2 linked regions of the Xenopus tropicalis genome follow. The protein of the gene in region 1 interacts with the protein of each later gene in a pairwise test. Links are inferred from orthologs where the notes say so. Each region holds a gene or a part of one and is shown on either strand. Other genes may lie near its edges.

Evidence for each region.
Region 2: the proteins of mia2 (region 1) and ttc23l interact in binary tests that used the Homo sapiens proteins (3 or more experiments, as listed by UniProt). The two-hybrid records come from large-scale screens. The link is inferred for Xenopus tropicalis from reciprocal best matches to the Homo sapiens genes MIA2 and TTC23L.

Annotation. Positions count from the first base shown.
Region 1 is NC_030684.2:90,883,651-90,887,484, forward strand, and holds part of mia2 (melanoma inhibitory activity protein 2), read left to right. Parts: intron 1-49; coding exon 50-96; intron 97-1,253; coding exon 1,254-1,344; intron 1,345-2,060; coding exon 2,061-2,199; intron 2,200-3,079; coding exon 3,080-3,181; intron 3,182-3,276; coding exon 3,277-3,337; intron 3,338-3,834. UniProt on the Homo sapiens protein: Plays a role in the transport of cargos that are too large to fit into COPII-coated vesicles and require specific mechanisms to be incorporated into membrane-bound carriers and exported from the endoplasmic reticulum.
Region 2 is NC_030677.2:199,192,449-199,196,163, reverse strand, and holds the end of ttc23l (tetratricopeptide repeat protein 23-like), read left to right. Parts: intron 1-818; coding exon 819-946; intron 947-1,899; coding exon 1,900-2,037; intron 2,038-2,684; coding exon 2,685-2,767; intron 2,768-2,865; coding exon 2,866-2,887; 3' UTR 2,888-3,108; downstream 3,109-3,715. Other genes in the region: brix1 (ribosome biogenesis protein BRX1 homolog), read right to left, coding at 3,475-3,715.

The sequences.
Region 1 (3,834 bases):
GTCTGACGATGTTTTTTTTTTTTTTTTTCCTTCTTCCTATAAAATGTAGCTGACCCTCAGAAGCGGACTATAAAAAAGTTAATTTATGCTGCCATGGTATGTCTTGCATTTATTTATTTTTTTCATTCCTGTATTCATGTTTTTCATTTTGTGTGCATTTTGTCTCAAATTTTCTGGGCTGACTTTAGAAATTGTTACTGATTTTGGTAAGCAAAGATTTCCAGAAGAAGGCTGATTTGCCACTACAGAAGGTTAACTGCACTATTTATCTTCCAGTATGGAAAATAAATCTTACTGATGGCACTTCTTCCACCCGTTTCCTTTTCTTCATCAACACATATGAGCAAAAGTTTGCCAAAACGCTTGAGTGTGACCCAGCTGCAATCAGTAGATAGAGCTTTTAACAATGTTCAAATGTGCAGTGAAAATCCAACACTGCACACACTCCAAAAAGCTTTATGCAGTGGTGCTTGAACCCCTTATGTTCTTCCCCCAGTCAGTTGTATATGTGTGTACATTTGAGTGCACTTTTACACTTCAGAACATTTAATAAAAGTAATAGGAATAATCCTATATGTTAGAATGGATGAAGGGAATATATATTTATAATGTAAGGTGCGTATCGCTGCCTGCTATAGGTATCCTTGTAGAAACAATGTGTAATAAATATACGTGTGTATATATGTATATATATGTGTGTGTGTGTGTGTATATATATATATATATATATATATATATATATATATATATATATATATATATATATTATACTAGATAACGAAGAAGCCGCTCTCACAGGACTTATGTACAAAACAAATAATCTTTTTATTAACTGGTGAACTGACGTTTCGCCTGAAAACCTCAGCCTTTCTCAAAGTTATATAAAGTTATGTATGTGTATGTGTGTGTATGTGTATATATATATATATATATATATATATATATATATATATATATATATATATATATATATAATATATATATATATATATATATATATATATATAATATGTCAAAGTCTCAACAGGCACTCACTTTAGAACTCTGGCAAAATGCCTGGGTGCAGTCCATAAAATGAAAATAATGTAACAAAAATGCAAGGTATATATATATATATATATATATATATATATATATATATATATATATACGTATAAATAAATGTCAAGTTTAAAAAATTATAAAAAAAAGTTATAAATAGTGCTTGTTTATGTTTTTGTACATTTGTTAAGACCATCTCTTACCATAAACAGCTAAATGCATCATTGAGAAGTACAGAATCGGAAAAGAAACAGTTGTATGATAACCTCTCTGATGAAATGAAAGTCAAAGAACAGCTTTTAGGTAAGTTAATGATTCTGTACAAACCACATATGGGAAAAAACACAAGTCTTTTTTACCTTCCCCTTCAGCATCACTTGAGACTCCAGCATATTTTTTACAAATCTTAGCTGCATGAGTGAGGGGTTACTTAATAAGGGACTGCTGTTGAAGTATGCATATAGTGAATCTGGTTCATACTGTGTGGGTGCAAATTTACATTAGCATACAGACCTCCTTGCCAGAAGTGTCTGTAGAAGGTTACTGCCTTCATAAAAAGTACTTCAGATTGTACAAAGCTGGAAATCCCCATGTGATTAATACACTGGGTTACATTCCCCCCGCTTCTCAAATATGAACATTTTTCTATTTTTTTCCTATATCTACTTACATATAGAATTTGAACCCCATTATGTAGCATTTTTTCTTGGCCTCTGTGTTTCCAGGAAAGAATTGCCTGGCAAGTACTTGAATAAGAGCTTTCAAGATATTCTCACAGAGGGCAACAGAGAGCAATTTCAGTCATGTTTGTGTGTGTGTGATTTGCTTTATTGCCCTATGACCAAATAATATATTCCCAATTTTAGCAGACATCCAATACTAGTCTGTGTATAAATAATGGTTATGCAGATTACTTCTCTCCATATTTTTTTTCTCTTTTAAGGAAACGTATCTATTGGCACTGGTAAATGTATTACATTGCCATGTTTATTACATACATGTTTCTTTTCTTCTGTCAGAATGTATTAATAATCTTCAAAATACTAAGCAGTCCCTGATCTCTGAAAAGGAACAGCTTGAAGGAGATGTGGAAAATATGAAGCACAAAATGAGTGTGATGTCAGAAATGTATCAAGAAAATGAAAAGAAACTTCACAGGTATAATGTTGCATAGCTACAGAAACTGACATTGGGATACTACTGTAGCAAAATCAGAGCAGCTTTAGGGTACAGGTATAGGACCCATTATCCAGAATGCTCGGGACCAAGGGTATTCCGGATAAGGGGTCTTTCCGTAATTTGGATCTCCATACCTTAAGTCTACTAAAAAATTAATAAAACATTAATTAAACCCAATAGGATTGTTTTGCATCCAATAAGGATTATTTATATCTTAGTTGGGATCAATTACAAGGTTCTGTTTTATTTCTACATAAAAAAAGGAAATCAGTTTTAAAATTCTGAATTATTTGCTTATAATGGAGTCTATGGGAGACAGGCTTTCCGTAATTCGGAGCTTTCTGGATAACGGGTTTCCGGATAAGGGGTCCGATACCTGTATATGCAGCACAAGCACAACAGATAGTCATAGAAGCAAGTTACTACAGTAAAGTTGTTAAAAGGACATACATTTTGCTTCTAGCTTCTCTCTCTCTCATAAATAATATCAGTATGTATTATGGTATCAGTCATGTGATTGGTGTATGTAGGGATCTGTTTTTGAGATTTACTTGCAAGACTACGTGCTTCATGCTAGAGTTTCTAACAGATGCATATATTATTGATCTCCTATACTTGAAATTTACAGACTATTGTACAATCATATACAATGTGACCTAAGCACACAGTTTTTAAAATTGTTCACACACAAATGTTTTTGAGCACCAAACCAAGAAGAAATTAGAGGGAACATTGGTCAAATACAAAGTTAAATTACATGATGAGTATATGAACTACTTGCACTTTAATGCATGGTGTGCCAGTAATTATGCACTTTCTATTTGTGTTGTGTTCTATATTTGCATTATTATCATTTCAGAAAGTTGACCGTGCAGGAGAAGGAGCGTATTCAAAAAGAGGAGAAGCTTTCAAAAGTAGATGAAAAAATACATTTGGCAACTGGGGAACTTTTGACTGTCAAGTAAGAGAATAAAAATACATAGATAAATCCTAAATAGAGTTATAAGCTTTGCCATGAAAGGATTTTAATGTTTTGCCCTCTCATGTCCCCAACAGGACACGGGTGAAGGAACTGGAAGATGAAATTGAGAAAACAGTCTATTCCTACCAAAGTCAGGTCTGTTACTTTTGTTGAACTGCATGAAATACTTGAAGACATTTTGCTATGGCTGTATTTTTAGCAGGGCGTTGGAGCGAATCCAAACAAGGCTATATTTACATTGTGGTCTTTCCAGCTGCTAGTAATGATAAACAGCCATTATAGGTAAAAAAAAAAGAGTAGAAAGATTGCCAGCACACTGTTTCATCCCTTATAAAATGAGAATTTCACTTACCTCTTATCGTAAATTCCATTTCTTCTAGTCCCGACATGTCAGTACGCATGGGCAGTATTGCCCCCACAGCTAGGAGGTAGGACCTATATACCAAAGCCAATCAAAATTAGCCCTTACCTATAAGACCATGTGACTTCCTCCTCACCACTGTTATACATTTGCCAAGCAATACAAGAAGCAAATATTTGGGATGGGAAACCCCGTACTGACATGTCGGGACTAGAAGAAATGGAATTTACGATAAGAGGTAAGTGAAATTCTCATTTTCTTCTTCGTCCCT
Region 2 (3,715 bases), on another chromosome or scaffold:
GGCCTTCCCCTCCAAAGACTGTCCCCTCTCCAGTCCATAATGAATACTGCTGCCAAGCTCATACACCTCTCCAACCGCTCCTCCTCTGCCGTGCCACTCTGCCAATCCCTGCACTGGCTTCCCCTACCATCCAGGATAAAATTCAAACTAATGACTCTCACATACAAAGTAGTTCATAACTCTGCCCCACCCTACATCTCTGAACTTATCTCTAGGTACCATCCAACCCGCTTGTTACCCCCCTACTGACCTGCTCCTCAACTCTTCTCTCATTCCCTCCTCACACGCTCGCATTCAAGACTTTGCAAGGGCTGCCCCCCTTCTCTGGAATTCACTCCCACAAACTGTCAGACTTTCTTCCAATCTCTCTGCCTTCAATAGATCTCTAAAAACACATTTATTTAGAGAAGCTTACCCTAATCTAGTTTAGCAACACCCTGTGCCACACCTCTCACAACTCTGGTCATGCCCATTCCCACACCTTGTGTCTCAACCCTTTCTCCTTGTAGATTGTAAGCTCTTTTGGGCAGGGCCCTCTTCACCTCTTGTATCGGTTATTGATTGCTTTATATGTTACTCTGTATGTCCAATGTATGAAACCCACTTATTGTACAGCGCTGCGGAATATGTTGGCGCTTTATAAATAAATGTTAATAATAATAATAAGGTGGCACCAAGGCTCTATACATAGAACAGGCCCTACAAGGTGTTGTTTCACAGGAACAAGTGCTACGTGAGTAGGTTTGTAGGTTTGAGAGCAGTGGTATCTGTAGCACGGGAGACGCCATATAATGGACAGGCTGTGTTTCTGTTATTAGAGGCAGCACAAAGGTTCTTCACAGAGAGCCTCGGCGCTTACCAAACAGCGGCAGGTCCTGATGACCCCCGGACACTGAATGCCTGTGTGGAATTCAGCAAGTGGCTCATCCAGATTGGGAAGAAGCAGGTAGGAATGCATGGCATGCCTTGCCCCTACATCTCCCTACAGTGGGTGGCCAGCCTCCCATGGGACTGGTTCATTGTATCACATGTTCACCACCCTCTCATGATCATTTGGTGAAACCAGACCGAAATGTATATGGCTGACAAATAACCCCCTCTTTTCATTGGTCAGCATGAAACTGACTCATTGGGCCACAGGTCAGTCAGATTAATGCAACCCAGCAACTGCTTGCTGTGCTTACACTGATCTGGTGGGGCAATTTCGCCATTCTAGGCACAACTTATACATGTGGGGTTATTTAATAAGGCAAGTTGGTCCACACAGGAAATCCAGGGCACTGATGCCCCTACCAACGTGGACCACACTTCTCTCCTACATCCCTTGAGTTACACTTGTTTTATCAGCAGCAAAATAAGTGCCCCTAGATCATTTTCCTATATGAGGGCAAATTGCACATTCTAAATAGACTGAGATCTGACTATAGGGGGGCCTAGTTATAAGTCACCTGACCCGATTGGCTGCTAGAGTGAGAAAAGAAATCTTCTGCTTGGGGTCAGACTAAAGGGCTTGAATAGCAGATGCCTGCCACAGTGTAGTAGCTTTGAAAGGTTTCCTTCAGGCAATTTTATCTTCCCCACAAGAATATATAACAGCAGTGTCACCAAGTGGTTTCTGCACCTAATTAGTGTCAGAGCGGGCCCTGCATTCCAGGCACTCCTATTGAGCTTTGGGGGCCCCAGTTCAACACTGCTGCCATTTGGCTCCTATAATATTGTGATAAATTGGCTGCTAAATACTCACAGGATCTTTGATGCTGGGACATTGGAACAGAAAGGTTAAACCTGCAACCCCCATCTGTAGCCTAAACACCTGCACTCCCATTATGTCTGTTACGCTGCCCAGCCCCCCCACTGAGATGTAGGACTTGCTGTATATTCATTTGTCTTGGGCTGCAGGAAGCGTACAAGCTGCTCCGAGGGGCCGTCAGGACGGAGACAGAATTTAGTGAAGAGCTGGCTGAGATCCTTAGTATAATGGGAAGCATATGCTTAGCCGATGGGAAGATACAGAAAGGCTACAAGCTGCTGAAAAAGGTCAGTTCTTATGGAAGTGTCTGCTCAGTTCTTTGGACTGGCGATACCACTGGCTTCGTAACCACACTATGGTCATACAGTACTGCCTAGCAGTTCCCCATGCTTTACAGGGCAGCTTGCCATAGCCACACTAGCGCATTTTGCTGTATAGGGGTCTCCTCAAAATATTGAGATTATACAGCAAAATGGTGCAAACCCATAGCAACCAACCAGCAGTTAATATCAGTGTATAGTCCGGTTGGAGTTAATGCATACATTTAAGAGAATATTATGGTACCAAACGCTTTACCATGCATAAGTAAATGTGCCTTACTGTGCCTTAATATGGGGGTATAGCTCAGGGCTTCAGGCAGTTATACAGGGAATATTACTCATGTATTATAAGGGATAATGTACACCCTACTGTAAATAAGGATATTAGAAGTCACTGAGGGATTCTGTGACCATATAAAGGCACAAGGCTGCAGGCTGAGTTATACAGGGAATTCTGTGGTTTTGTGACCATATAAAAGGCACAAGTTTTAGTGACAGTTACTATAATGTGTAGGTTGAATTGTTTGTCCTACAGCCACAGTGCTATGACCCTATACACATACAGTGCAGCCAGCAATACTATGCACTCACCCTACTAACATTTATTCTTCCAGTGCTCAGACATTCAGGTTGCAGTGTATGGATCCCAGCACAGTAAAACCAAAGGAACACAAAATCTCCTCACCACACTGAAGAGGTAAGTTATATACTGGCCCAGCTGCCTGGCAATTCAGCACAGACAACAATGTGTGGAGCGCACAAAAATTTAAAAAAAAAATGTTTTTTTTTTGCCAGGTCTGGAGTGGTTGGAGACTGAGAACAGCAAGGAATGCAGAATATCTGAACATCTCCTACTGGGAATAAAGTGGGATTATGAGACTTGGACTGCAAAGCAAGGAAAGGCAACAAGTAGCCAGGATATCCAGATAAGTCTTTCCTACTCCAAATGTATATCTTTCTACTGCTGTGCCCCAGATCATGCTAGATCATGCAAGATTTTGTATTTATTTCAGTATAAAAACATTGTTTTGCCAAGAGCGTCATTGCCTTCTGTTTGGGTCATTAATCATGAAGGTGCATTGGGAATCTGAACGCTAACTGCTGAATCCGGATACAAAGCGCTGGTGCTGGCGGAGGAGCCAGATATGCTTGTGCCAGGCAATATATTATCATTGGTTACTTAGTTTAGTTGGCTCCATCCATCTATGGGAACATACAGTGTTTTCTGCGTTAAATAAAATGCCCCACAAGCCAGCCGCCTGTTTATGACCTAAATCTACATTAAGAATAAAGAATGAAAAGCACCCATACAGCAGCAGAATAGCTTTTAGGATAAGGTTTAATATACAAAACAGCCATACCCCGTGCTAATACCCCCTCCCCCAATACCCGGCCCCCCAAACATCACATGCGTTTCTTAGCCATTCTCTGCCTTTTGAACTGCTTGTCTTTCCTCTTCACCTTGGGCTTGGGTGCCGGTGGCTCCGTCTCAATGGTCTGAGGTTTCTCCTCAGCTGGAGTATAGAACACAGACTCTGTGGGATCGGCAGGGATAACCGGTCTGTCTTCCTCCTTCTTCATCTTCTGCAGCTCCTTTACCTGCTGCTTCTCTTTCACCTTGGCTGCTGTCGCCATTCGGATCATT